6 linked regions of the Sus scrofa genome follow. The protein of the gene in region 4 purifies or fractionates together with the protein of the main gene of each other region. This does not show direct contact. Links are inferred from orthologs where the notes say so. Each region holds a gene or a part of one and is shown on either strand. Other genes may lie near its edges. The genes, in order: SRSF1, SRSF3, UPF1, EIF4A3, NCBP1 and NCBP2.

The links.
Region 1: the proteins of EIF4A3 (region 4) and SRSF1 fractionate together in Homo sapiens (co-fractionation; 4 studies listed by BioGRID and IntAct, with this or other methods). This does not show direct contact. The link is inferred for Sus scrofa from reciprocal best matches to the Homo sapiens genes EIF4A3 and SRSF1.
Region 2: the proteins of EIF4A3 (region 4) and SRSF3 purify together in Homo sapiens (affinity purification with mass spectrometry; 3 studies listed by BioGRID and IntAct, with this or other methods). This does not show direct contact. The link is inferred for Sus scrofa from reciprocal best matches to the Homo sapiens genes EIF4A3 and SRSF3.
Region 3: the proteins of EIF4A3 (region 4) and UPF1 purify together in Homo sapiens (co-immunoprecipitation; 8 studies listed by BioGRID and IntAct, with this or other methods). This does not show direct contact. The link is inferred for Sus scrofa from reciprocal best matches to the Homo sapiens genes EIF4A3 and UPF1.
Region 5: the proteins of EIF4A3 (region 4) and NCBP1 purify together in Homo sapiens (co-immunoprecipitation; 3 studies listed by BioGRID and IntAct, with this or other methods). This does not show direct contact. The link is inferred for Sus scrofa from reciprocal best matches to the Homo sapiens genes EIF4A3 and NCBP1.
Region 6: the proteins of EIF4A3 (region 4) and NCBP2 purify together in Homo sapiens (co-immunoprecipitation; 3 studies listed by BioGRID and IntAct, with this or other methods). This does not show direct contact. The link is inferred for Sus scrofa from reciprocal best matches to the Homo sapiens genes EIF4A3 and NCBP2.

What each region holds. Positions count from the first base shown.
Region 1 is NC_010454.4:34,278,976-34,284,358, forward strand, and holds the start of SRSF1 (serine/arginine-rich splicing factor 1), read right to left. Parts: upstream 3,144-5,383; 5' UTR 3,054-3,143; coding exon 2,860-3,053; exon of another isoform or gene 2,433-2,859; intron 2,425-2,432; coding exon 2,240-2,424; intron 1,894-2,239; coding exon 1,721-1,893; intron 1,518-1,720; coding exon 1,323-1,517; 3' UTR 1-1,322. UniProt on the Homo sapiens protein: Plays a role in preventing exon skipping, ensuring the accuracy of splicing and regulating alternative splicing.
Region 2 is NC_010449.5:32,291,773-32,296,199, reverse strand, and holds part of SRSF3 (serine/arginine-rich splicing factor 3), read right to left. Parts: intron 3,195-4,427; coding exon 3,060-3,194; intron 2,238-3,059; exon of another isoform or gene 1,780-2,237; intron 907-1,779; coding exon 868-906; intron 630-867; coding exon 543-629; intron 426-542; coding exon 398-425; 3' UTR 1-397. UniProt on the Homo sapiens protein: Splicing factor, which binds the consensus motif 5'-C[ACU][AU]C[ACU][AC]C-3' within pre-mRNA and promotes specific exons inclusion during alternative splicing.
Region 3 is NC_010444.4:59,010,406-59,015,528, reverse strand, and holds the start of UPF1 (regulator of nonsense transcripts 1), read left to right. Parts: upstream 1-2,005; 5' UTR 2,006-2,301; coding exon 2,302-2,523; intron 2,524-5,123. UniProt on the Homo sapiens protein: RNA-dependent helicase required for nonsense-mediated decay (NMD) of aberrant mRNAs containing premature stop codons and modulates the expression level of normal mRNAs.
Region 4 is NC_010454.4:2,283,656-2,288,748, forward strand, and holds the start of EIF4A3 (eukaryotic initiation factor 4A-III), read left to right. Parts: upstream 1-2,023; 5' UTR 2,024-2,039; coding exon 2,040-2,208; intron 2,209-4,647; coding exon 4,648-4,720; intron 4,721-5,093. UniProt on the Homo sapiens protein: ATP-dependent RNA helicase. Involved in pre-mRNA splicing as component of the spliceosome. Core component of the splicing-dependent multiprotein exon junction complex (EJC) deposited at splice junctions on mRNAs.
Region 5 is NC_010443.5:239,502,215-239,506,797, forward strand, and holds part of NCBP1 (nuclear cap-binding protein subunit 1), read left to right. Parts: intron 1-1,475; coding exon 1,476-1,632; intron 1,633-3,692; coding exon 3,693-3,800; intron 3,801-4,380; coding exon 4,381-4,502; intron 4,503-4,583. UniProt on the Homo sapiens protein: Component of the cap-binding complex (CBC), which binds cotranscriptionally to the 5'-cap of pre-mRNAs and is involved in various processes such as pre-mRNA splicing, translation regulation, nonsense-mediated mRNA decay, RNA-mediated gene silencing (RNAi) by microRNAs (miRNAs) and mRNA export.
Region 6 is NC_010455.5:133,186,846-133,191,041, forward strand, and holds part of NCBP2 (nuclear cap-binding protein subunit 2), read left to right. Parts: intron 1-3,036; coding exon 3,037-3,175; intron 3,176-3,990; coding exon 3,991-4,062; 3' UTR 4,063-4,196. UniProt on the Homo sapiens protein: Component of the cap-binding complex (CBC), which binds co-transcriptionally to the 5' cap of pre-mRNAs and is involved in various processes such as pre-mRNA splicing, translation regulation, nonsense-mediated mRNA decay, RNA-mediated gene silencing (RNAi) by microRNAs (miRNAs) and mRNA export.

The sequences.
Region 1 (5,383 bases), about 32 Mb from region 4:
TCTGTCATCAGTTTAACAGATGTACATCAATAACTATCAAATTCCCCAAAACAAGTTTCTGAATGGTGTTCAGATAAATTTTAGAAACTTAATCATCATAGAGACTAACTGGAAGAAGCATTTTATATTTACAGTTCAACTGATAATGCCAACACTTGTTACTGTACAGCGTATTACAGGTTTTGTGGTTGCAAAAAGTTATGTAGTTTAAAAGTTTACTGGTATTGCTACCCACCTAAGTCTAAACTAAATCTAATGCTCCCAACTGCAATTTAATTTGTAAATTAAAGTGTTTTAAACATGAGTCAATTATGAATATTAAAGGGGAACGTGAGACTTAAAAAGTATTCCCAACTAGATTATCTACACCAATAAATTGGAATTCTATTATTTTGCTTTCATTTTGTCTTAAAAAAATGAAGTAGCAACGCTATTATATCAGTCACACAGAGGACATGCAGATTTAGCAGTATTGATATTATACTCTATCTGGTTGGAATTAAAGACACCCTGTACCCACAAGTACACCAACAGCAGGTCACACATTAACAGTTGTAACTAAGCACTGTGACAAATTAATCAGTTCTTCCCACATTAGTCCCTAATAAAACAAAAAAGGGAAGGGAGCAAAACAAATTGTTACAAAATGGGCCATGTAATTTTGCCACAATTGCCAGAGTTTTAAAGAGTAAAGCAATTGTAGCCAAATATAACTGCATAAAATGTTTTCAAGTGTTTTAAGATAGATGTATATAATCACTTTAAACCCTTGCCTTTTAGTATAAGGTCAATACTGCCAATTTCATCTGTGACAATAGCACTTGGAGTCATACCATTGCCTCCATTATTGATCTGATCCTCCTCAATCCTCCTTTTGACAATCCTAAAATGATTGAAATGTGCTCCACAATCCTTAATCCAAAGCATTCTTAATCCATCTCTTCAGATATGTCTACAGAAAGACACATGAAAAGCAAGATAAACATAAGAACTTCCCCAGGTAAGATAACCACCAACACCCCCAACATCCCAGTTCACACAAACCAGAGCAGAATAGACATTTACACAGTATCACAGTCTGAAGAGCATGGAGAGTTAACTAAATTTAAACAATCCTGTCTATGACATCACTTAAAATACAATTTATCAGACATGAGGGGAATGTAGATGTTAGGAGCAAGGGGATATTACACAAGAATGCAATTCAACACTTTAGCCCACTCTGAACAAAAACAGTTTTGAATTAAAAAATGAAAAGATTGTACTGAATAAAGGAAAACTGTATACAACATGGGTTCTACAAAAAAGTGTCACCAATCATCTTATGTACGAGAGCGAGATCTGCTATGACGGGGAGAATAGCGTGGTGATCCTCTGCTTCTCCTTGGGGAATAACTGCGACTCCTGCTGTTGCTTCTGCTACGGCTTCTGCTACGACTACGGCTTCGAGATCGAGATCTTCCATAACTTGGACTTCTGGGCCCATCAACTTTAACCCGGATGTAGGCAGTTTCTCCCTATTGGATAGACAGAACTTTCGATTGAAAGATCTAAGCTTTCACCTGTCTTCAGGCATGCTGAATGAATCAACGTAACTCAAACCAGAAATCTGGCACTTTACTGGGTTTTTACTTGGACACCCTTGCCTGAATCTTACCTTCAAATTCCACTGTTAAGACCACTGTATCCAATTCTGGCCAAGGAAAAGAATATAACCTACCTCATGAGATCTAAACTTAGTGTTATCCAGTTTTCGAACTGCATAGGTCATATCTTCTTTCCGTACAAACTCCACGACACCAGTGCCATCTCGGTAAACATCAGCATAACATACATCACCTGCTTCACGCATGTGATCCTTCAAATCCTGCCAGCTTCCACTTGGAGGCAGTCCTGAAAAAGTGCGTTTTCTTTCAATACCAATTATCCTAAGTTTCACATTAAACATAAAGGTTACATTAAAACAAGACTTAAAACCAACGGTCTTTAACATCCCGTTTAACGAGCTGTTAAAAGAGTTCGGAATCAAGAGTCCAAAATTATTTGTAAAGTTAAGGCTCTTCTTATCTTCTAGGTACTGCAACCTAATTCGCTAAGTCTCAAATAGAGTAGTCCTTGTTAACTAAAGTCACCCAAGGCACTCCGGTTTAAGTGAAGACCTGGCATGAAAACACCAAGAAAAACTTCAAAACGGTGTGCGGTCCCCTTATCATCAATCCGCACGGACCCGCCAACTCACCAGAGACAACCACTCTGTTTTCAGAACGCCTGGATGGGGGGCCATAGCGCCCTCGGGGAGCCCCGCCGCCACCACCCCCGCCGCCGCCTCGGCCGGTACCACGGCCGCTTCGAGGAAACTCCACCCGCAGACGGTATCCATCGTAATCATAGCCGTCGCGACCATACACCGCGTCTTCTGCGTCTCTGCGTGACCAGAGAAAGCCAAGGGGTAAGGAAAAGAAGAAAAAAAAAAAAAAAGGGCCAGGAGGGGCGGCTCACTCCGCCGGGGAGCGAGCGGGCCCCCGCACATGCGCACCGGGGTGGAAGAGCCCACATGCGCCGCATAATAGGAACGGCCCCTCCCCCACCCAGAAGCACGCCAGGCTCCCGACCACTCCAGCAGCCCTCGGCGCCTCAGTTTCCCGCTCCGAGCCTGCGAGTCGGCTCTAGGGACGTCCGTGGGGCCCGGCCACCAGAGGAGCCACGCCGACTCGGCTCCTTACTCGACTCCTGCATGGGCGATATCGTCTGGCCCCCAACCCAAGAACCCACCGCCCCATTCCCCAAGTGAAGGCCCCGGAGCCTTCCCCAACTACTCCAACCTATTTCCTCAAGGCCGCAAGCCCCTGGCCGCCTCACCGCGGGTCCTCGAACTCAACGAAGGCGAAGGGCGGTCCTCCGCGGCGATTCTTCAGGTCGATGTCGCGGATAGCACCGTATTTGTAGAACACGTCCTCAATGTCCTTGGTTCGGATGTCTGGAGGTAAGTTACCCACGTAGATGCGGCAATCGTTGTTCCCTGCCGGGCCACGGATCACACCACCTCCCGACATGGCGGCGACGAAAAGCGCGGACTCGAGAACAGGCCTTCCCACCAAGCCTAGCGAGCGGGAGAGCGAGCCCGCAGCGACACCACGTCTCCCGCGGCCCCTCCAAAATGGCGCCTTTATCAGCTCGGCGCACGGATATGGGGGGGAGGGAGGAAGAGAAGCGGGAGGAAGCAGCTATTCGATCTCACTACGCACGCGCAAGAGCGTAACGGGTGCTGCGAGAGTGACGCTCGCGCAAGCGCGACGTCACCCTCCGCGCGAAGGGAAAAAAGTTCCCGCCTTCCCGATTTGTCGAGGGGTTTAATAAGGGAGTGACCAGCCTTGTGGCAAAATTAAATATAGAGCTCTCGTAAAAGGGGTTATTAATCTCTGTCGAATCCTAAAGAATCAGCAGTTTCCTCAGGAATGTTTCTCTCAAAAAAACGGCGTCTTGAAAGTATTTGGTGAAACCTAGCCTAAAGCTAGGTCCCACCATGCTCTGCGCTGTTAACGGCCTTTGGCGGGAAAGACTGCCGGGGGCGGAGTCAAAGGGGGAGGGACCAGGCGGTTGCTCCGGAAACACGGGCATCCTTGGAGAGTGCACCTCGTTCAGGAGTCGCGTTGCGGGTGAATCAACGCGGAGCCGAGACGTGACTTTGTCTTCCCGCCCCATCTGCGAACGGGCCGTGGACTGCTTGGACGACTGTCTAATGCAGGGGAACCTGGCTGAGACGCTTTAATAAATATTCTACGCTAAGTACCGTTCCACCTTCGGTTCAGAACTGACCTCAGTTCAACGCTCCTTGTGCTCGTGGCGGTAATTCCTGGCGGCATCAGCCAACCAGGACCCAGACCTCTGCTTCTTTTTTAAATCACCTATCGCCAGGGCCCAGCGCAGCGGAGAGGTCCAGTGAAGGTTTGCAGAATGAATTGTGTCTGTTATTTCTACAACGTCTTTCAAAGAACGAAAAAGACGCGCGCCCTCCTGTTTGTATTGCAGAATCCTGACGTTCCTTCCTTTTTTGGAACTCATTAGCAAATCTCTCAGGTAATATGAATGAGCAAAGTGGATGTGTGAGGATTTCTGTGACCACTGGAGACCGAAGTGGCGGCTTAAGGACTCATCTCGCCAGCATGTTGGTCCAGGGAGATAAGAACTTGTTACATTTTGCCACGGAGCCATCTGAAATCTGGATTTTTATATGAAATACTGGGATTTTAAAATATTAATGGTGAATTCAAATTAAAAAAAAAACCCTGTCATAAATATGCTGAAACAGGTCTGCACCCTGATTGAGAGGATGATTTTCTTCATTTTTATTTATTCGCATCAATCCCTCTCCCCAGTGATGTGATGCTGTTTACAGAGATACCAGAAAACGTTATTGCAATTGAATGGAGAAATCACGGAGAATATAAGGGGAAATTAAAATGAAGTCATGGATAAAGTTAATACACAAAATGGCTGCAGTAAAAATTTGTGAGTTCTAAAGATGGATTACAAATTTGACCCTAGTCATCATGGCAGTCACAGTAAAGAAGGAAACAGTATATTCAAGATCCAAAGTGCCTTAAAAAGATTTTTCAGAAGGTCATGTTTTCAGTTCTAAAAGGCGATTGCATGTATTTTAACAGTGTTCTCAGTAATCCCAAAATGCAAATTTAATTTGCTGCTCAACAGATTCACAGAAGATCTTTAGTAGTAGTCCTTGAAATCTGATGGTTTTCAAAACTGGGTATCGCACAGTTTTTTTGTCTTTTAGATCATCCTCCAATGATAGATATTTTTTTTCTTCCTGCGGCATGTGGAAGATTCCAGGCTAGGGTTAAAATCAGAGCTGCAGCTGCCAGCCTACACCACAGCCACAGCAATGCAGGATCTGAGCTGCATCTGTGACCTATGCCACAGCTTGCGGCAACGCTGGGTCCTTAACCCACTGAGCAAGGTTGGGGATCGAACTCGCCTCCTCATGGATACTAGTCGGATTCTTTTTTTTTTTTTTTTTTTTTTGTCTTTTTGCTGTTTCTTGGGCCGCTCCCACAGCGTATGGAGGTTCCCAGGCTAGGGGTCGAATCGGAGCTGTAGCCACTGGCCTATGCCAGAGCCACAGCAACTCGGGATCCGAGCCGCGTCTGCAACCTACACCACAGCTCACGGCAACGCCGGATCCTTAACCCACTGAGCAAGGGCAGCTACCGAACCCGCAACCTCATAGTTCCTAGTCGGATTCGTTAACCACTGTGCCACGACAGGAACTCCCAAGTCGGATTCTTAACCTGCTGAGCTACAACAGGAACTCCTCAATGATATATTTTTAAACCAAACTTTCAATTTAAAAGAAGACACTGATAAT
Region 2 (4,427 bases), on a different chromosome or scaffold from region 4:
CCAGCTATGGAAAGTCTTCTCAAATTTTTGCCGGTTTTGCTTCAGTAATATTGAACATCACAGTTTAGCTGGGCAGGAGTTAGAGGTTTATTATCAATCTATGCAAGACTTAAAAAAAAAAAATCAAATTCAATTTTGCTTAAGGGAACATTGTAAAGTAACAATTCTTGGTATTACATGCCTCATATGATTCATTTCAAACCATAGAGAATTACATCTTTATGTGTAAAAATTACATCTTTACTTTTGTTGCCAAGAGACAAACAAATGTGAACAGCTAAAACATCTTAAAAATGCACCAAGCTTATGAAGTCTCAAACAAAACTTGAATTTTCTGTACATACTCCTGTCAAATGAAGTTATTTGCTGTACACCACTCCTCTTGCAAACTGGTTTTCTATTTCCTTTCATTTGACCTGGATCGGCTAAAAACAAAAACCAAAAGTTACAAAAATTGTATCAAAATGACTTAAAAGAAGTACTTGTTTTTAGTACATTATGTATGCAAGGTCTTTTATGCCTCAGGTCATTAAAGATCTTACCTACGAGACCTAGAGAAAGAACGGGACGGCTTGTGATTTCTCTCCCGAGAAAGTGATCTCTCTCTTCTCCTATCTCTAGAAAGGGACCTGAAGTCAGAGGGGAAAAAAAAAATAGGGCCATTCAGGATCATACACCCGTATTTCCAAGATTTTGAAAAACTAAAAACTAATTTTTCTTACAACTTAACAGTGGTTACAGATACTACCTCAGTCATTATGAAAGTCAACATCTATTACTATTATCTAAGTCATTTGGAAAACAGCTTAGGAACAGCACAAATACTCCCATTTCTGAGAACGTGGCCCGCAAAAAGTAGTTATTTACCTGCTCCGGCTACGGGAGAAGCTTCTCCGTCTTGGAGATCTAAAAGCAGAAACAGGAAAATTAGACTAACTGTCAATTAGCATTTATGGCGTGAGGCATTTCCCAACTTTTCAATCTCACTGTTGGGCCCAGTGAATGTGCCGAAGAACTGGCACCCATCGTCCAAAAATAATAAAAAAAATTTTTTTTTAAAGAAAAGAAAAAAGGCACAGAAGGATTAAGGAACCAAAAGCTCAAGTGAAAAGCAGGTATCCAACCATGGATTCACTTTAACAAAGAATGCTTCACAGCAGATCTGTCCAATGCAAAACTTTCATGTCAAACTAACTTCACTACCCAAACACCACACCAAAATGTAGTCCCACAATAGTTCCAAAAACAGTACCATAAATCAGTATTTGGAACCCATGCAAACCTATAAGTCCATGACAAGACTTAGGTACCAGGTGGATAGTGTAATTCTGTGAAAACGCGCTAGGTGTAAATATTGATGCCATTAAGTGCTACATTAGAACTGCCATTTGTGATCGTCACATTTAAGAGTGTGTTTAGGCTTATCAAAATTACCTTAGCTTGGCCCACTTCACCCCCAAAATTTTAATTTTTGAAAACTGTTAGTAAAACCATTTAAAGGTGATAGGATTCAACAAATTTTTGCTAGAAAGGAAAGCTAAATCTGTTAGAATTATTAAAATTTTAGTTTGGCATCTCAAACATGCAAATAAGTTTCACTTGAAGGTCTAGTTACATTATGAGTTCCCTATCACCCTTAAAAGTTTTATTCAAGCAATATATATGTACGTTACCATTCAATTATGCACAGCCAGCCTTTGATCCAGAAAAAAGAATTACTTTAAGCCGCTTACTCCTTATTTTAACCAGCAGTAAACTGTATAAGCAGGAAAAACTTACTAGTTTTTGGGTTTCAACAAGCTAGAAATGGTGAGGTGAGGCTGCCGGACTGACGGCCAGGAAGAATTTGCTGAAAAGGTTTTGCCAGATGTTGCGTTGGATTTAGTTGGTTGGCGAAGGGGGTGTTGTGGATTTTTCCTGCTTTTTTGTTAGCCGAAGGCTGCTGCTGTAGTTGTTGTGAAGACATTTGGTAAATAAACAGCTGAGCTGATTGGCCAGGAATGTGTGGGCGGTCGAGGTGGCTGCTGCCGATTTGGTTAAGGTTGGAGAGAAGGCTGAGAGAAAACAGCATGCTCGGGAACCAAAGGGCGGTGCAACCTGACGACTGGCCATGCCTGGGTCATGTGAAACGACACCAGCCAAGCTGAATGGGGCGCGCTGGTCACATGACGCTGAAAGGGCTAGTTGACTGGCTAATGCAGATTCAGAGGGTGGTGAGAAGAGACATGATGGTGACTCTGTAACGGGGTTCATTTTTATTAATAGATGGACCAAAAAGCACAAAAAAAAAATGAAAAACAAGCCATCAGTACAACCATCTATTAGCTAACAAATACTCTTTATTATGATGGGCAACAGTGTGTTGTTTTGTTTTTCAAAACAGCAAAAGGGGCAAGATTTTGAACTCCTATCTCCTAGAAGGACTTCACTCACCTGTAAGAGGTAAATTCAGTCCTATAGAAACTATTTTGGAGGTTTGAGGAGATGTGGAGTTAGCATCCAGACAATACTGCCTGGTCCAAGAAAGATGCCATTTTTAATTATAAAAAAACTGAATTCTCTCCTATTTGGGTTTGAAGAACAGATGACTGGGATTACTTTAGCCCCCTTTATTGGTCAGTGACTTAAGTTAGTTTCAGAATGACTTCTACTTTACCAGTTGCAACATTAAAACAGCTGCCTGTTTGATAAATATTACAATAGTAGAAAACACATTTTGGTGAAGAGCTAGAATTGAATGTAATGTTTGTCATTATGGAGTCAAGAAATGGAAAAAGGCCTAAATTGAAGTATAAGGGAAGACTTGGAAAGATGCAACTAGAAGATGAACTAGAAGATAGATCCAAGATAGAAGTTACTGACTACCAACATGAACAGTGACCTAAGACAAAAGCCAACACTCAGCACAACTCACATACCCCAAGCTACGCCCAGCAAATGTTTCATAAAAACCTCTGATTCTTCAAAGTTTAAAACCCACCAACAAACTTTAAGAGAATACCTGTTCCTATCAGCTACTCCATTACACCAATACCTCTAAACACGCTCTCTCTAAGTACCTGCGGCGAGGTGGAGGACTCCTTCTCCGATAATCATCTCGAGGGCGACGACCCCAAGAAGGAGGTGGGCCACGATTTCTACTTCTCTTTTCACCATTAGAGAGTTCCACTCTTACTCGGCAGCCACACAGCGTTCTAAGAGGGAAGAAACATTAAATTTAAAGCAGCCGGATTGATTAAAAGATACACATTAAAGCGGGAAAAAAACCCCAACATTCATTTATAGCTAGTTTCTGTGTAAGAAACATCTGAATGCTCATAGAATTCTTAACACCAAAACAAGGTTTAGTTTCTATATTTTTTTCTGGTAAAAAACACCTTCCTTACATTTTATTGCTTTGTTAGTCAGTGTGATCATTGGGTTCAATGATCACAGTGACAATATTAAGTGTGAAAATCCCTGGATCCATTCTCAAAGAATTAGTTCATCTGTACATGCTGGTGTGACTACTTCCTTTGAGGTCCCAGCAATTGTTTACCAACCTTACTATATTTGTTGGTCTCCTTTCTCTTCATACCTCCAAGTAAAGAGCAGTAAACAGGACAGAAGCATTCTGGCCATTTATTTAATACAACCCTCTCCACTCAATCATCACACAATAGTTGACAAGAAATTGCAAGTGAGAACAGTAAGAAAGTTATCTCCCACCTCTTCATTGGTCCACAACCATTAAGTTTAGATAAGCCACATTTGGACAGACACTGGGAAGAGGTGGGGCTCTCAACCAGTTTCTGCAATTTGCTTAGTTAAGTGACCTTTCATATAGCTTTACAGCCAACTCTCAGATCCTTTCAGTTTTCCATCTTAAGGATCAAAGTTTTCCTTGATTTCATGAAATCCAGTGGTTTGCAAATGCCAGGATAAAGGGCAACACTAGTTCACTTTAAGACTCAGGTGTTATTTGAGTTCCCCGGTGGCTCAGCAAGTTAAAAATGCAGCACTGGAGACAGTTTGGGGGGGTTGGGGGATGGAAATCCTATAAAATTGGATTGTGATGATCATCGTACAACTAAAAATGTAATAAGTTCACTGAGTAATAGAAAAAAAAAAATAGAATGCAGCACTGTCACATTTGATCCCAGAACCTGGGAACATCCACAAGCCACTAGCACAGAAAAAACAAACAAAAAAAACCAAAAAACAAAACAAAACACCCAACTAACCTCAGGTGTTACTTAGCCAGTCAACAAGACACTAAAAGCATAGGGAAATAACACCCACACTTCCTAAAAAAAAGTGTTATCATGTAAAGATAATGGTACAATAAACCCATGTAACCATCATCCAGCTACAATCAATCAGGATGTGACCATAAGGGAATGTCTGATTCCACAATTTTAGATTTCAAAGTTTACAACATGACTATT
Region 3 (5,123 bases), on a different chromosome or scaffold from region 4:
TATCATAGCTAATCCAGCTCTCTCTTGGTTACCATTTGCATGGAATATCTTTTCTATCCATTTACTTCCAACCTACTTGTCTTGGAATCTATAGCGAGTCTCCTGTAAGACAGCATAGTTGGATCACGATTTTTTAAAAAACAAATCAATTCTGACAACTTCTTCTTTTTTTTTTCTTTGTCTTTTTAGGACCACATCTGCAGCATATGGAAGTTCCCAGGCTAGGGGTCAAATTGGAGCTGTAGCTGTCAGCCTATACTACAGCCACAGCAATGTGGGATCCAAGCCGTGTCTGTGACCTACACCACAGTTCATGGCAATGCCTGATCCTTAACCCACGGAGCGAGGTCAGGGATTGAACCCGAGTCCTCATGGATACTAGTCAGGTTCGTTACTACCGAGCCACAATGGGAACTCCTTTTTTAAGTGGAGAGTTTAATCATTTACATTTAATAAATTACTCATAGGGACTTATTTCTGCCATTTATTTCTATATGTGGTATCTTTTCCCCCCAATTTCTCCTTTATTGCTTTCTTTTGTGTTAAATGGTTATGTTTTAGTTTATCACCCACAGTGCCATTTTGTCTTTTCTTGTGTGTGTCTTTTAGGGCCGCACCTGCGCATATGGAGGTTCCCAGGCTAGTAGTCTAATCAGAGCTACAGCTGCTAGCCTACACCACAGCCACAGCAACGCGGGATCTGAGCCTCGTTTGAGACCTACACCACAGCTCATGGCAACGATGGATCCTTAACCACTGAGTGAGGCCAGGGATCGGACCCACAACCTCATAGTTCCTAGTCAGATTAGTTTCCACTGCGCCACGACAGGAACTCCCACAGTGCCATTTTGCGAATGTGAGTATATGTAGGAAATAAGAGGATATCCTTAGAAGTGGAATTGCTAGATCAAAGGCAGGGTAGGGCATGCATTTAAAACTCCGAGAGGGACCTCCCATCATGGCTCAGTGGTTAAGAAACCCAATCTAGCATCCATGAGGATGTGGGTTCCATTCCTGGCCTCGCTCAGTGGGTTAAGGATCTGGAATTGCCATCAGCTGTGGTATGGGTCACAGACATTCCTCAGATCAGGGCCGAAGTGGCGGCATATGGAGGTTCCCAGGCTATTGGTCAAATTGGAGCTACGGCTGCTGGCCTTTGCTGCAGCCACAGCAACTCCAGATTCAAGCCATGTCTGCAGCCTAGGCCACAGCTCACAGCAATGCCAGATCCTTAACCCACTGAGGAGGCCAGGGATCAAACTTGCATCCTCATTATTCCTAGTCAGATTTGTTTCCACTGAGCCACTACCGGCACTCCCCTCAGCCCATCTTAATGGTTATTATTTCCCTTTCCCAGCGGAGGAAATCCTAGGCTGAGACGTGAAATCATTTGCACAAAGTCACACAGCCAGTAGGTGGCCAGGTCTGGATTTCAAACCTGAGCAAGTGCTCCCAAGTGCTTTGTTATATACTGCCTCTGAATAATATTATAATTGTACAGAACTGCTGCAACCACCATTTCTGCGTGCTATGTGCTGTGCTAAGGGCTGTCCCCACTAATTTATTCAACAAATGCACACTGAGCAGCTACTATGTGCCAGGCATCCCCATTTTAAAGGTGAGGAAACAGGCCCAGGAAGATTCTCTAAAAGATGGGGACGCACCGCACCGTCCTCGACAAGCTTCCCCAGCTGGGTTCCACCTGTGTAAGGTATTCAGTTGGCGGTCAATTAACCCAAGACATTGTCGCCGCCCCTAAGGGCAAGGACCACCACATCTACACCATCCGCTGCCCAGGCGCCACGGAGGAGCGGTTGGAGCGAGACTAGCTTCTCGAGCCGCCGTCGGGAAGACGGTTGGAAGCCCCGCCTCCCGCGCTTGCGCGCTGCGCGTTCTGTCGGCCCACTCAGCTCCGGGAGTCCGGGCGCGGTAGGAGGCGTCCTCGAGGAGCGCGTTCGTCTGCGCCGGCGTCGGGCTCGCGCACGCGCACCTGCGGCGGCGTCGGGCTCGCGCACGCGCACGGCGGCGGCGGCGGTTCCTGCCGGGGGCTGCGAGGGCGGGCGGCTCCGAAGGAAGCGGTGGTACTGAGGGGCTCAGCGGCAGAGGCGGCGGCTCGGCGCGCGTGGCTCTCGACCCGGTTCGCACCGCGGCGGGCGTTTTGATCTTGTCCAGGAGCGCGGGCGCGGCGGCGGCGGCGGCGGCGGCGGCGGCGGCTGCCCAAGACCTGCGGCCTAGGCCTCAGCGCAGCGGCGGGCTCGAGTGCGGCGCGGAGCCGGCCTGAGGGCCCTACGCGGCGGCACCATGAGCGTGGAGGCGTACGGGCCCAGCTCTCAGACGCTCACCTTCCTGGATACCGAGGAGGCCGAGCTCCTCGGCGCCGACACGCAGGGCTCCGAGTTCGAGTTTACCGACTTCACCCTCCCCAGCCAGACGCAGACGCCCCCCGGTGGTCCTGGAGGTGGAGGCGCTGGGGCCCCGGTCGGCGCGGGGCCGGGCGCGGCCGCCGGACAGCTCGACGCTCAGGTGAGCGGCACATGGCGGCGCCGGAAGATGGGGCCAGGCCTCGGCGGCCGGGAACCTGCCCTGGCTCCCCCTCCATCGGGGCAGAGGCTGATGTGCTCGTGTTTCAAACTCCAGTCGGGCCTGGAGTAACCTGGCGGGGTCTCTCCCATTCAGGACGTCCCCGGAGTAACCTGCCCCGGCTCCCGCTCTCCAGCCGGATCCAGGCAAACCTACCTCAAGTCCTGCTCTGGTTGCGTCCGGGTGATTTCAGGATCTCGTTCAGGCTAGGTCTTACGCGATCTGTCCCAAGTCCCCTTCCGGGTCTGTCTTTGGCCAAGTCGGGGATGACCTGTCCCCGAGTTCTCCAGCTGGGTCGGTGATCTGCTCCGGTCCCCTCCTCTGGCTGATCCGACCGCCCTGCCCCACCCCCTTACCTGTGGTCGGAACCTTCAGAGCACTCTCCCTTACCCCTCTTATGCCCACTGAGCGGCGGATTCAGATTTCCCTGGGCTCAGGGACGCTGGTGAGAGGAGGGTCGAGGCTCCCCCAGCAGAAACGGAACTTTTGCCTCCAGTCGTGAACCCCATACTCGTTGGCTTTTAAGATTATTCAGGAGGCAGTTTGCGTTTTGTTTTTCTTTCTGGCATTGCCTGTTGCTGAAACCGACCTGTTACGTAACTCCGCAGCCCTGCCTTGGAAAAGTTGGGTTTGAGTTTGTTCCTCCAACGGGGTAATAGTGGTGGGTTTTACTTAAATTGGTCTGCCACGTCAGAGACTTTTGTTCTTAATGATGTGAAGACTATTTTAAATTTGGGTTTGTGTTATGAGAAGTATTGGGCATACACTTCCTGGATCTGGGGCCCTGCCCTAGGGTGGGCAAGGGGGCTGGCTGTGGTCTTGAACTGGGCTCACTTGGGAATGTAGCCATCATCTTCTGAATCTCAGATTCCATTTCTTTGCCTGGTACCTCCTTTGATTTTATTTTCCTGAATTCTCAGCCGTGGAGGAGATATAGGGCTTGCCTTGTTGCAGGTGTCCCTTGACATGAGGACCCACCGTCAGATCTTGGGGAGCCAACCTGTCCTCAGCCAGAGTGAGCTTAGACCCTGTCCTGGGGAAGGGGGCTTACATTGTAGTTGGTTGAGTCACTCCCATGGGTAGACCACCCACTTGGACTTTCTCTTAGCCCCTAATAGAAGCAAAAAACATTTGACTCATTCTAACCTCAGATTCCTTAAAAATAGATGCTTGATGGGTGGGGGCATCAGGGAGAACAGGTGTGCATGTATGTATGTTTTTTCAGTTTTGTTTACATATGATGGGGGAAGTTAGAGGGGAAAGTTTGCATGGAGACATGAATGAGCCACCAGAGACTCTTGATAACACTTGTAGTTTCATACCTTGTAGATTTGTTCCCACAACTTTAAAATGGGGGTAACAGCTCTTATTTGGTTACCTTTAGACATATGTGAAATTGGACTTCTGTATGAACGGATAGACCTGATAGTGTTGTCTATAATTTGCGTCCACCATGTCCGGGAAGCTGAGGATAAAAATCTCTTGGTTGAGCAGTGTGTCATGACCTATGGTAGCTCAGGGTTGTGAAAGGTAATTGTTTTATTGCAAATCCTTTTTAAACTGTAGCCTATAAAACAGCAAACCTGGGCAGCTCCAAGTTGTAGTTTTGGTCCTTGGTTTCTGTTTTCGGTTAATTGTGGGGGCGTGTCCTCTTTTAGTTGCAATAATTGATTACTTTTCCTGCACCTGACCATTGAACTGTACTAAATAAGAGCATTAAAACACTCCACTGGAGGGAAACATTATAGTTGAACTCATTTGAATTCTGATGACATCAAAACGGTTTGTCCTTCCTTACTTTAACTCTGTAGCCTAACTTTGGATTTGTATTTTGGGGAGTAATATCCTTGGAGTCACAAGAGGAAGCTTTGGATTTGGGGGCAGGAGAGTCTGAATAGAACCAGAAAGTGGAAAAAAATTGAGTATCTCCTGTGCCAGTTGGAGGCATTGGCTGCCTACAACATTTGGGAAGATTTTCCTTATTTGTCTTCAGACTTGTCTGTGTAACCAGCTGTATGATGGGGCTTCTATTCTGAGTGCCTTTTGATTTTATCTTACTGGCTGAGTGGCTGTGAATTGTCACATGCTATGCATCCACTTTCATTTCACAGCTTTATTGAGATAGAGTTCATGTACCATATACTTCACCCATTCAAAGTGAGCAGTTCAGTGGTTTTAGTACATTCAGAGTTGCACAGCCACCACCACAGTTGATTTTATGACATTTGCATCACTGTAAAAAGAAATCCCACATCGCTTAGTCTGTCAGTCCTCCCTTCTCCAATTCCAAGCAACCGCTGTTTTTTCTCTCTGGATTTATCTCCTCGGTATGATTCCATATAAGTGGAATCATACAGTATGTGGTCTTTGGTTCTTTCATTGAGCCTGTTTTCAAGGTTCATTCATGTTGCATGTGCTCCATTCCTTTCGATGACTGAGTAATATTCCATAGATGGACAGACCACATTTTGTTTATCCTCTTACCTGTTGGTGGACATTTGGATTGTTTCCATTTTTAGCTGTTATGAAGAATGCAGCTGTGA
Region 4 (5,093 bases):
TCCCAAGCTAGGGGTCTAACTGGAGCTACAGCTGCTGGCCTACGCCACAGCCACAGTCACACTAGATCTGAGCCACATCTGCAACCTACACCACAGCTCACAGCGATGCCAGCTCCTTAACCCACTGAGCGAGGCCAGGGATTGAACCAGCAACCTCATGGTTCCTAGTTGTATTCGTTTCTGCTACGCCACGACAGGAATTCCTCTCGTTTTCTTATACTAAGTCTGAAATTTGTGTGCGTTTTACAGCACAGCCCTAGGACAGTTCGCAAAACAATGTGGGCTACTTCAGAGAGGACACGGATAACCCCTCTGTGGAATCGCAAGACCTGAGAATACTTTAATCCACTGCACAGGCTGGGGATTGAACCCATGCCCTCCGCAGCAACTTATTCTGTATACATTTGTATTTTATTCACTTTAAAGTCTAAGAAAGAAATTCAGATTTATAAATATTTAATTTTTTTTTTTAAGGTCTGAACCGTGGTGTATGGAAATTCCTGGGCCAGGGATTAAAATCCCTGCTGCAGCTGGGAGTTCCTGTTTTGTCTCAGTGGGTTAAGGATCTGGTGTTGCTGTGAGCTGTGGTGTAGGTTGCAGAAGCTTGGATCCCAAATTGCTGTGGCTACTATAGGCAGGCAGCTGTAGTTCCGATTTGACCCCTAGCCTAGGAACTTCCATATGCTGCAGGTGTGGCCCTTTAAAGAAAAAAAAATTCAAGCTGCAGCTGTGACCAACTGTGGCAACCTGGGATACTTTAATCCACTGCACAGGCTGGGGACTGAACCCATGCCCTCCGCAGCAACTTACTCTGTGCCACAGCTGGAACTCTAAGGTTTGAGTAATACTGGCATTTTTTTTTTTCTTGCTTCTTAGGGTCACACATGCAGCATACGGAAAATCTCAGGCTAGAGGTCAAATTGGAGCTATAGCTGGCGGCCTACACCACAGCCACAGCTGTGCCAGCTCTGAGCCACATCTGCAACCTACACCACAGCTCACGGCAACGCCAGATCCTTAACTCACTGAGCAAGACCAGGGATCGAACCGTGTCCTCATGGATGCTAGTCAGGTTCTTAACCCACTGAGCCACAAGGGGAACTTCCCATACTAGCATCCTTATCAGGCACGTTTATCAGGTCAATTTTCTTGCAGAGTCTGGACATATTCTAAGGTCTGGGCCAGAGCTTCAGGAAAAGACCTCATTTACTTGTTTGCTGTCAACAAACTGCAAACCTCTGCACTCTTATGCCTGATTTTAATGGATAATATGATCACCCAGTTTTCACTGAATTAACCTTCACAACAGGAAAGCGTTTAAGCACTCCTGGAAAGAGGCTGTGAATTAAAGATATGCCCAGGATGGGAGCCAAGCAAACAATGAGAAAGGACGGAGCTGGCACTTGGGCAAGTACAAGTTTCACAAAGTTATCGCTGTTCTCACACAACACAGATGAACGTCCGTCAAGTGATGAAATCGGTTCAGAGGCCAGTTTTGCGGTACTTGATTTTAGAGGCACTTGAAGTTTTAGAGAAGCATGGCCCACGGGGCCATGTTTACACGGGATAATGAGCGCAGGCAGGGACCAGCACCCGGGTGCCTCCTCCCGGCAGGGGCGCCCTGGCGCACGCCGCAGCTCGTCTGCAGGAGTTCCAGTTCTACCCTGCCGCGCTGAGGAACCGGTAATGCGGCCAGGTAACCGGTAACCCTCCGCGCAACAGCCCAGCCCAGAGCCCAAGCCGAGGGACCCGGGCGAACCCCGGCGCCTACCTTACGCGGGTGCGGGGAGGGGCGGGGTGTGGCCAGGGGCGGGGCCCGCGGATCCCGCGGAACCCCTCCCCCTCGAGAGCTGCGGCACCGCCCCTTTCCCCTTTCACGTGACCAGGAGCTCCCCGCCCCTTCCGAGCGCGGCTCCGACGCACGCTCCTACGCAGGCACGCGCGCGCGATGCCGTCAGTTCCTGGCGGCGGCGACGGCGCGGCGCTCTACTTCCGCTTCCCGGTGCGGCGCGCAGTCGGTTCTCAGCCCGCTCGGCATCATGGCGGCCACGGCCACGATGGCGACCTCAGGCTCGGCGCGGAAGCGGCTGCTGAAAGAGGAAGACATGACCAAAGTGGAATTCGAGACCAGCGAGGAGGTGGACGTGACTCCCACGTTCGACACTATGGGCCTGCGGGAGGACCTGCTGCGCGGCATCTATGCCTACGGTCGGTGGGCGCGGGGCGCGGGCTGCGAGCGCCCGCCGGAGAGCATGGGCCCGGCCGAGGGCTGGGTCCCGAGACTGGGAGTGTGGCGGTCCTGAAGGTCGGGGATCCGGGTTGGGGCCGAGCCCGGGGTGGGTCACGGGTGACCCCTTCCCTCACCACGCGTATCCACCCCCATCTGTGCCGGCGGGTTCGGGTGTTGTCCTCCCGGCAGCGCGCCCTGCTGGGACCCAAGAGGGCTGCAGGGTCCTTTGGGCACTTGGGAGTCATTCATTCAGCGGATAACTGTCTTGTATCGGCCAGGTGCGCGGCTCTAGGTACTCGGGGCTTAGTAGGGAACCAGACAGGTTCGTGCCCTTAGTTAAGTTAGCTTAAGCCTTAGTTTAAGTTACATTTGGGAGGAGGACTGTATAATCGATGGTAATGGCTACGGAGAAAATTAAGCGGGATAATTGGTTCAAGCTGCGCGGAGGAGAGAGTTAAACTAGTAGAGCAAATAGGCAAGGTGGCTGCCAGTAGGGCCTGGCATTTGAACTGAGACTCAGCTAAGGAGCCCGTTATGAGAAGGTTATGTTAGAATTGGGCAGAGGGGGCAGCTGGTGCCAGGTCCTGCAGCCCGGAGCCGGGGACATTCCAGGAACAGAATCTCCTGTCCTCCCTGTGGGGAGGGAGGAGGGGGCCACATCTTGAAGAGTGAAGTCTGGGGTGATAAAGAGAGTGCATTTTATTTCTGAGTGCAGTGGGGGAGGCCATTGGAGGGTCTCATGCAAGGAAGCGACAGGACCATATTTAGTTAGAAGTGAATTGGGGTGTCTGATGTGGGTGGAGGTGAGGCGGGAGAGCAAGCAGGGAGATGCTAGGAGGCTTTTTGTTCCAGTCCGGGGGAGAGATGATGGTTTTCTGGTGGAGATGGATGTAAGCAGCAGAGGAAAATCCTAGGTGTGTGGCTGATGGGACCGGTGATGCTGCCCTCTGCTCAGGCAGGGAGTAATGGTGGGAGCACTTCTTGAATGAGGGGAGCTTGAGGGACCTGTGAGCCATCAGTTGTCCTAGCTGGGAGCCTCGGAAGAGGCGGGGTTGGGGCTACTCTCCGGAATGAGCAGCATCCGTGCTTAATGCCTGGGACTGGGGCATCTTTTTTATCCAGCAGTCCTTGAGTCAGGACAGTTTAGTGCAGAGAAGGTGCTGAGGGAACGGGAGGTGAACTATAGCAACTAAGCCTTGTAGTGAGGCTCACAGCCCACCTGCCTCTTGGGATCTAGGGCCTCCCTTCCCTGAAACACCTGCTGCGTCATCATGAGGGGTTTAAATCACATTAGATTGGCTTTTGTGTTAAGTGGGAAGTTTACTACATTTTAAAAGACTATGAGAATTATTTCATGTCCATTATTTGTACATGAAGTTTTGTTTACTCAGACAGTAGAGGGGTTGCAGTTCACGCAGCCGCATCCAGGGCAGGAGGGCATCCAGGGCGGGAGGCGTAGGTGACATTCGTTTTTAGATGATGTCACCTACCCAAAGACTTACTGCTGATAGGGAGTAGTGACTGACTGTGATGGGTTATTTAATTTAACAAGTGATGCCAAAACACCCCCAACAATGCAGGTTATTGTAATGAAGTCAAACAATGCAGTAGTAATGGAAGTAAGATGTGAGCTTCCCTCCCCCTGTTCTCCAGCAGTAACCACCTGTTAACTTTTTTTTTTTTTAAACCTAACTAGGGTCTCTGTTTGCAACAATGTTCCTCAGAGATTTTGTCTGTATAAATAAGATCATATGTTACTATAAAGAAAATCCACTGGAGTTCCCTTGCTCAGTGGTTAACAAACTCGACTAGTATCCATGAAATTGTGGGTTCAGTCCCTGGCCTGGCTCAGTGGATTAAGGATCCGGCGTTTCGGGAGCTGTGGTGGAGGTTGCAGACGTGGCTCAGATCCCAAGTTGCTGTGGCTGTGGCTCAGGCCAGCAGCCACAGCTCCCGTTCGACCCTTAGCCTGGGAACCTCCATATGCTGCAGGTGTGGCCCTAAAAAAAAAAATCCACAAAAGTCCACAAATCCTGCTTTGTTCAACAGCTGTTTTTTGAGAGCTCAGTATGTTGGACATTGCATCAGGAGGGTTTTTTTTTTTTTTAAAAAACATACCATCCTTGGAGTTCCTTCTGTGGTGCAACGGGATCAGTGGCATATCTGCAGCACCAGGATGTAGGTTCAGTCCCTGCCTGGCACAGTGGGTGAAAGTAACTGGTGTTGCCACAGCGGTGGTGTAGGTCACAGCTGTGGCTCAGATTTGATCACATACCCACGAACTCCATATGCCGAGGGGCAGCCGAAAGAGAAAGGAAGAAAGAGAGCCCATCCTTGCCCTCGAGGAGCCCCAGCGTCTGGTTGTAAGCATGCTGTCCTAGCGGTTAGAACTAATTGTTTTCTGCTCTAATTTACAGGTTTTGAAAAGCCTTCGGCAATCCAGCAGCGAGCTATTAAGCAGATCATCAAGGGGAGAGATGTCATTGCACAGTGAGTCTGCGGGAGCCGGGCCCGGGCCGGGCTGCTCAGCACAGCAGCGCCTTTGCGCTTCTCCTTCCGTCGCCGTGACCAGCCCTGGCCTTGCATTCAGCCATAGGCACTTTTTATTTTTGTGTCCTCCACTCTGGAAAGCTCTTTTTTAAAAAAGCCCAATTTCCTTACCTATCATTTGGCAAATGGGATTATGTATAATACTCTTAATAGCTTTATTCCCAATTTGCCTGTTTTTTTTTTTTTGGCTGCGTGAGTCTGAAATCAGACGATTATATGAAAGGAAATCTCTTTTTTAGCCACTGAAGTTACAGATTCTGCAGCTTCATCACTTCCTGTTTATTATCCCCATCACCTGTGATTTGAAAGTTGG
Region 5 (4,583 bases), on a different chromosome or scaffold from region 4:
CTGTATGCTTTGTGAAGAAGTAGCTATGACTTCTGGATAAAGAAGTCTTCATTATGAAGGTGGCTTAAGTTGTTATTTCAGTTGTTCTTAAATAATGTGCTTTTGTTTTGTTTTTTCCATTGCTTACAGCTCAATTTTAATTTAAAAATGTACACACGAATTGAAACTAGCAGTGGATTTTACCTTTTTTTTTTTTTTTTTTTGTCTTTTTTGTCTTTTTAGGGCTAGATATGTGGCATATGGATTCCCAGGATAGGGGTCGAATCACAGCTGTAGCTGCCAGCCTATACCACAGCAACATGGGATCTGAGCAGCATCTATCACCTACACCACAGGTCATGGCAACGCTGGATCCTTAACCCATTGAGCAACGCCAGGGATGGAACCTTCATCCTCATGTATAGTAGTCGGATTCATTAACCACTGAGTCACAACGGGAACTCCTCAGATACAATTTTTTGAAAGAATCCAGTCAGTATTCAGTAAAACATGTCCTTAGGCTAGAAAACTACTAAGAAGAATTACTTTACTGTAGTTATGCTTAGATTCCTTCTGTTCTGAAAGCATTTATTTGAATGGAGTATATTTATGCTTAAACTCTAAGGGAAGCCATGACTGAGGTGGGGAAGGGTAAAGATTGAATGGTTACTATTAATGCAAGTTATTTTTTTTTTAAACCTAAATTGTCCTTAATACTCATGCTAGGAACTTTGGGAAAACACAAAGTGTAGGAGATTCTGAATGATCATGAATTCATATTTGCTTTTCTTTTTGAGCTAATTTCTGAAGACTGCCTAAATTAGGGGTCAACATTACCTTTTTCTGAAGTATGACTATAATCCTCTTCTCTATTTTTCACATAACTTTAATGAAAATTAACACTTAAGTAAGCAAACTGGGATGTAAAGACATCTTACTACATTGGGTACCATGTTAGAAATTCAATAATTTAACTGATAGAAACTGGGTTTAGTTCTGAATTTTTTCTAAGCAACTAGAGTAGTATTTCTCAAAGTGGAATTCTGATCCCATGACAGTTGGTCTGCGAAGTTTAGAAATTTTGTATGCTCTCTCTCCCCCTTATTGATTCTGCATTGAGGAAACTTGTTTCACAGCAATTTCCAGGTATTTTACCATAGAGACCATTTTCTGTAGAACTGCTATTCAGTTCCACTAAGCACATTGGAAGAAAAACTAGTCTAACATTAGTTATATCTTTAGTTTGATGACTTCACAATTAAGAGTGTTTAACTTTCTTAACTTGTGGATTAACTAGAATTAAAATGAAAAATTTGAGGGGGCCATATCTGCAACTCTATTCAATATTTATGCCTTTTCTGAAGTAGTTTTTAAAATATAGCTAAATGTGATGCTTTTCTAAAATTATAAAAATGATAAAATTTATATAATGTAAAATTCAGAAACTTAATGCTATTGTTTTGGGATCTTCTTGTTGTTCTGGGTTCTCAAATTAGTGCACGTCTGTTACCTGAGAAGTTGACAATTTATACAACACTAGTTGGACTGCTGAATGCCAGGAATTACAACTTTGGTGGAGAATTTGTAGAAGCCATGATTCGTCAACTTAAAGAATCGTTGAAAGCAAACAATTATAATGAAGCTGTATATCTGGTAAGTTTTTCGGTTTGGGAGGCTTTTTTGATATGATATGTTAGTGTTGGAATGGAGGGAAGAGGTGAGCTACAACCAAATAATTTATCTTTTCTCTTGAAATACAGTTCCCCACTCACCACAACAGCTGCCCTTTTGAAACCATTCTCATTAAAGGTACAGAGCTCATTTTACCAAGTCCAGTGACTTTTTTTCACTCTAAATCTTGGTTGACCTTCCTGCAGCATGTGATGCTTTGTACTGCTTTCTTAGTCTCGGTTTTTGCAGCACCTCCTTTTTCAGGACCTCGTGCTGCTACGTACCTTCTTTTTCTCAGTCTCCTTTTACTGGAGCAGCTTCCTTTGTCCCTTAAATTTTTGTCTTCCCTAGGATGCTGTCCTCACTGCATTTTCTTCCAAATACTCTTTCCTAAAGCATTCTCATTCTCTCTCATAGCTTCATAAACTACCTTTATGTTGAGGACACCCACACACACCCACACACCCCAAATCTGTAATCTGTATCTTCACTTCAACCTTTCTCTTGAACTCCAGACCTATGTTCCAAATACTACCTGGATAGCCCTAAGGTATCTTGCCTGGAATTCCCTGAATTAATGAATTATTCATATCTTCTTTCCTCTGTCCTCACCCCAACCTGCACAAATGGCTGCTAGTTACTGGATAGTCCATCGAGAAGCCGGAGCATTCGTTTTTGTCTTGCCTTTGCCCCCTCTTACTCCGAGCAGTCCCCAAGTCCTGTCTAGAGTTCTTCCTCCAGTCAGTCCCTTCTCCGTTGTCTCCAGGGCCTCTAATATAGTTCATGCCTTCCTCCTCATGTCTCAGTAGCCTCTTAACTGATCTTTTTACATCCAGATTCTCTACCTTTCACTTTATCTTCTACAGTGACACCAGAGTGGTCTTTCTGTAACAAGGTTCTGTTCGTATTGGTTACGTGTTAAAAACCTCAATTCCTTCCCATTGTCTACAGAGGATGGTTTTCAAAGCCATGAACAAGATGATGCAGGAAGTAACTGTTAGAACTCTTATTTATCTTAAATGGAAATGGAATTAAGCCTTATTAGTTGTATACATAGATTGACAATGGGCCAGTGTATATTATAAAATATATAATATATATGTTGGAAGTATGTGATCAGATTCTTTTCTGTTGAGTACACAAAAGAATTTAGACACCCATCAGGCTATAAGGTGAAGTTCAGATTCTTCATTAAGCCTGACCCTCAGTGGTTGCACTAGTCTGTTTCTGTTTGCCTCCCATATATCCTCCAGCTGTATCAGAATATTTGCAGGTCCCTGCACCATGTTTTTGAACTTCTCTGCCTAGACCCTCTCCTTGCTCCCCGCTGGAGGACAACTTTACTCATTCTGTATGACCTAGATGGATTGTTACTCCCTTAAGATGTTTTCCCCTCTCTCTGTATCTCTGTTTCTAGAGCACTTTTTAATTTATCCTTTAGTATAGGATTCATCCTTTTGCGTTGAGATTTGGCTTGTCCCACTAGACTATTAGCCCCCATATGACAGAGACTCTAATATGCTCAGCAGTGGCACACAAAGGACACCCAATAAATATCTTTTCATGAATTTCCATTTCTGTTGTCCAGTGAAAATTTCCTTCACAGCCAAACAGCAAAAGTTGTAGTAGCTAGAATATTACAGTTTAGGTTCTTATTCCAGTATAAATGTGAAGCTATCAATGCACAGACTCCTGTCCCTCCTGTAGTCTATCACAGCTACTCAGCTCTGCTATTAGAACATAAAAGCAGCTGCAGATAGTATGTAAATAGATGAGCATGGCTGTGTAAAAGTTGATTTGTGGACACTGAAATTTACTTTTGTAACTTGTGTGAATCAGAATATTCTTTTGGGTCTTTTTCTAGCATTTAAATATCTAAAAACTACTCTTAGTTCACAGGCTGCTTAAAAATAGGCATTGGGCTAGATTTGGCCCTTGGGCTATAGTTTTTCAGACCTGTGGTTTCAACCTTTACGCAATTGCTTGTTTTATAATTACTATAAAGGGCATTTACATTTAATAGAAATTGTTTTACCCAACAGGTCCGTTTTTTATCTGATCTTGTGAATTGTCATGTCATTGCTGCTCCATCAATGGTTGCTATGTTTGAAAATTTTGTAAGTGTTACTCAGGAAGAAGATGTGCCTCAGGTAAGAAGACCCCTTATGCTGCTTCTTGTCCATACAGTACCAGGTATTTTCTCTTTAGTATGGAATCTTATCCATACAGTACCACGAATTTTTCACCCTTTAGTAATTAAAAAAACCCAAAAGATTCACGGCAGGTTATCACATTATAAATTCTTAACATCTAGGAGTTCCCATTGTGGCTTAGCGGAAACAAACCCCACTAGCATCCATGAGGATTCAGATTCCATCCCTGGCCTCACTTGGTGGGTTGAGGATCTGAAGTTGCCATGAGCTGTGGTGTAGGCCGGCAGCTGCAGCTCTGATTCGACCCTTAGCCTGGGAACTTCCACATGCTGCACCTATAGCAAAAAAACTTAATATCTAAAAATTAGGTCAGCTGGCTTAATGGTGGGTTCTCATGACATCTGTATTTTAGTTAAATGATCCATTCTGGTAAGATTAAAACTAAGGTATCTAAAAATACTCTGAATGAGCCAGATATTTTCTTTAAGCCCTTTTAATTAGTGTCCATAGGATTTCATTGAAGAATAGATATACTATGTATGAAAATTCACTTGTACCTATTTTAAATATTCTTTAGGTGCGGCGGGATTGGTACGTGTATGCCTTTCTGTCGTCCTTACCCTGGGTTGGAAAGGAGTTGTATGAAAAGAAAGATGCCGAGATGGACCGCATCTTTGCCAACACTGAAAGCTATCTCAAGTAAGAACACAGCAGCATGATAGTGGTTTTGTGTCCCCTTAAGTTTTTTCAGAATAATTTGATTGCAAGTTTCATTTTCTG
Region 6 (4,196 bases), on a different chromosome or scaffold from region 4:
GGCTTTTGGAAGTTCTCAGGCTAGGGGTAGAATTGGAGATACAGCTGCTGGCCTATGCCACAGCCACAGCAATGCCAAATCAAGCTGTATCTGCAGCCTATACCATAGTTCACATGGCAACACCAGATCCTTTAATTCACTGAGTGAGGCCTGGGATCAAACCTCCATCCTCTTGGACACCCAGGTTTGTTACCACTGAGCCACAAGGGGAACTCCTGATGTTTTTGTTTTTTTTAATTAATATTTCCTTTTTGGGTCATTTTGTTTGAGAAATTTCCCAGACCTGATCTAACATGTCTTTTGAATTTTCTGTGCCTTGAATTGTTTGTTTGGTGTTTTGTTTTTGTCTGTTTTATCTTTTTAGGGCTACACCTGTAGCACATGGAAATATGGAAGTTCCTGAGCTGGGGTCAAATCAGAGCTGTAGCTGCCTGGCCTACGCCATAGCAGCACAGGATCCAAGCAGGTCTGTGACCTACTCCATAGCTCACATCAATGCCGGATCCTTAACCCACTGATCCGAACTGGTGTCCTCATGAATTCTAGTCAGGTTTGTTATCACTGAGCTGCAGGGAAATGGGAATCCTGGAAGAGGGACGTCGAGGTATAACAACCACAAGGCTCTTACATTTAGAAAGTGGGGGACCACGAGGCTAGTGTTCGCAGAACAAAGCAAAGGCACCTAGGCTTTAGCCCACATCTTTTTATTAAAGAAGGTGATGAAATTATTATTGATGGGATTAATGAATGTGACAAGATTAGTGGGCAGGGACAGCAATGGCTGAGGTTATCTAATTTGTAATATCAAAAGGGGATATCCTTAGGACATAATGTAGCTGTTTATAGAATAACATAGTTAATGCATAAGTCCTTCATCTTGTTTTTGAAAGAGACTCTACTTTAAAACTCTGAGTCCAGGAGTTCCTGTTGTGGCACAGTGGTTAACAAATCCGACTAGGAACCGTGAGGTTGTGGGTTCGATTCCTGGCCTTGCTCAGTGGGTTAATGATCCAGAGTTGCCGTGGTGTAGGTCACAGAAGCTGTGGCTCTGTAGGTTGCTGTGGCTCTGGTGTAGACCAGTGGCTACAGCTCAGATTAGACCCCTAGCCTGGGAACTCCATATGCCACTGTAGTGGCCCTAGAAAAGGCAAACAGACAAAAAAATAAAATAAAACTCTGAGGCCGTAGACACTTGCGTTCTGCAGAGTTCTGCTGTTCCATGGTCTCCAGCACTGAGCCACAATGGGGACTCCCTGAATTGTTTCTTTTGGTTGTATTTATGCTATAAATTTTCCTTAAATTTCTGGTGATCCCTGGGTTTCTGATCATAATTAGGGGAAAAAACTGACCCAGGTAGAGCTTCTCAAGTTGCTGCCTTGCCTTTAGGACATGCAGGTTTGTCTAATGCCAGAATGAAAATGGATTTGTATTTCGGCTTGTTAACATCAAAGATAATGCCCAGTTCCTCCAGATGGTTTATAACCGTATCACTTTATTATTTGCCTGGGATTAAATGCCTTCCTGCTAACAGGTTTTCTTCCCACATAGACCCCTTTAATTAGACCCTCTTTGCAGCCTTGTTTCTTATTCAACTTTGAATTAAGATTCTCTTGGGTTTGCTATCGTCTTCTTTAAGAATATTTTGTACTGTGATTTTGTTTCATCTATTAGCACTCTTCATCTTTGTTGAATCTCTAGTCTCCTGATGGCCCCTTCTACTCTTTGGGTATGTATTTCTTTTTTGTCATGTTAATGGGGGCCTTAAGGAAAGAAGAGAAAATGTGCTCCTGCTTATGCTATCAGATGCTTGAACTAGAAGCCCCACTTTTGAACCTACTCCCCACTTTGGATTTTGGTATCTGATTTCTGGGCTGTGCAAGCTTCTTCCACTCTCCCTTCAGACACAAGGGATGAGTGCCTAGGTCTTTCTTTCACATCTGGTAACTGTAAAATAGTTCACGGGGGACAAAAAGGCAAATAAAATCTTAGATAATAACCCATCTGTAAGAACTGGGATGTTTTGCATTTGCTTTGAAGGTCAAAGATCAGTAATCATGATGGCAAATAACCTGAAAGAAAGGGTACAATTCACTGCTAGGGTTTTTCTTTTCAGCTTGCCCTTTAGCATTCATTTCTTTCTACAAAAAAATTATTGAATGCCCACTGGGGGCTAGGTATTGTGTGGATGTTGGACACTAAATTTTAGCAAGTGTTTTCCTACCTGCTAAAGACAAGGGGGAAAAATCCAGATCAGCATTTCTTAAACCCAGTTAATTACTTACAGAGTTTTGTCTTGTTTTAATACCACCCCAAAGATTCAGTAGACCTGATGAAATAGATTTGGAACTACTAACCGGAGTAATCTTTGAATCTTTCCTTCTAATGAAATGCAGTGGCAATTCATATGCACCGTAATCTCTTTTTAAGGTTTTTTGTTTTTTTTTTTTGCTTCTCAGGACTGCACTTGCAGCACATGTAAGTTCCCAGGCCAGGGGTTGAATCAGAGCTGCAGCTGCTGGCCTAAGCCACAGCCGCATTAGATCTGAACCACATCTGCGACCTACACCACAGCTTATGGCAATGCCAGATTGCTGACCCACTGGGGCCAGGGATCGAACCCATGTCCTCATGGATTCTAGTCAGATTTGTTTCCCTTTTTTTTCTTTTTTTTAAGATTGTTCTTAATATATAGCTCCATATTTGGGTGCTATTTTCCCCTTAGATAACAGTTCATGATTTAAACCTGAACTAAACATTTTATATTTTGCAAACAAAAATATGGGGACAGTAGGGCCAAGATAATTAACAGAATTATCCAGAAAATGATTTTGTAGCTGTGTATAAGTGTAAGATTTGACTAAGTGCTTCTGGACCAAACTCAGACAGCCAGTGCAAGCCATATTATTGTTTTGAATTCCATCTGGTTGGATTAGTTTTTGTGCTGTTTCTTAACAACTCAGCTTCATTATGATGTTGCGTCCTCTGTTTACAAAAACATTTGGAGAAATGCTTATTTCCTTAATAATTACACTTAAGATACTATTCAAGAGCAGATGCTGAAAATGCCATGCGGTACATAAATGGAACTCGTCTGGATGACCGCATCATTCGCACAGACTGGGATGCAGGCTTTAAAGAGGGCAGGCAGTATGGCCGTGGACGATCTGGGGGCCAGGTATGTAGGAAGGTTCTCTGGGCTCAGCCTTTGCCTGGAATTCCAGTCCTAAATTGACAAGTGTTTTGTCAATTTTTATTTCCTCTTTTGAAAATAACTTTGTGCCTGTAACCTTTGGCTTGAAGTGAATCTGAAAACCACCCATTGGGATTGGTAAATTACTTTTAAAAACCATTGAATAGTATATTCCGTCTATCTCTAAAAGCATCCATTATTGGACTCCTGCTAGGAGTTAAATATTCTCCACCTGCAAGAGCATCTAAAACTAAAGCAAAATGTACTGAAATGACTTTCATATTTTTATTTTTATTTATTTATTTGCTTTTTAGGGCCACACTTGCGGCATATGGAAGTTCCCAGGCTAGGGTTCTAATTGGAGCCACAGCCACCAGCCTATGCCACAGCCACAGCCACAGCAGATCCGAGCCGTGTCTGTGATCTACACCACAGCTTACAGCAACGCTGGATCCTTAACCCACCGAGTGAGACCAGGGATCGAACCCGCAACCTCATGGTCCCTAGTTGGATTCGTTTCCGCTGCACCACGACGGGAACTCCATATTTTTAATTTTAAATAGTCTAAGTATTTGGAATTGTGCTATTTTTGAATGCTGAGTATAAGCTGATGTTTGGTTAAAAAGATGTCTTAAATAAATTTGCAGGGCAGTTAGTTTATATCAGTTGCCCAAAATTATGCTCTGCTTGAATTGTTCACATTACGACATCTGAAAAGGATTAGCTATTTGACATATTTGTGGGAGGCATGTTTTTTTGCACTAATGGTGTGTATACTGTAACATGTTCTTTCATGTAAGGTACGAGATGAGTATCGACAGGACTATGATGCTGGGAGAGGTGGCTATGGAAAATTGGCCCAAAACCAGTGAGTGGTGAAAGCCCCATCATGAAAAACTCACTCCTTTGGCCTGTTGAATCTGATGTGCATTACCGAAGGTCTGCAAACCTGCCTGTTTTTACCAAGCTTTAATCAATGTTTCTACTGAGCCGGAAGCCTCTTCAT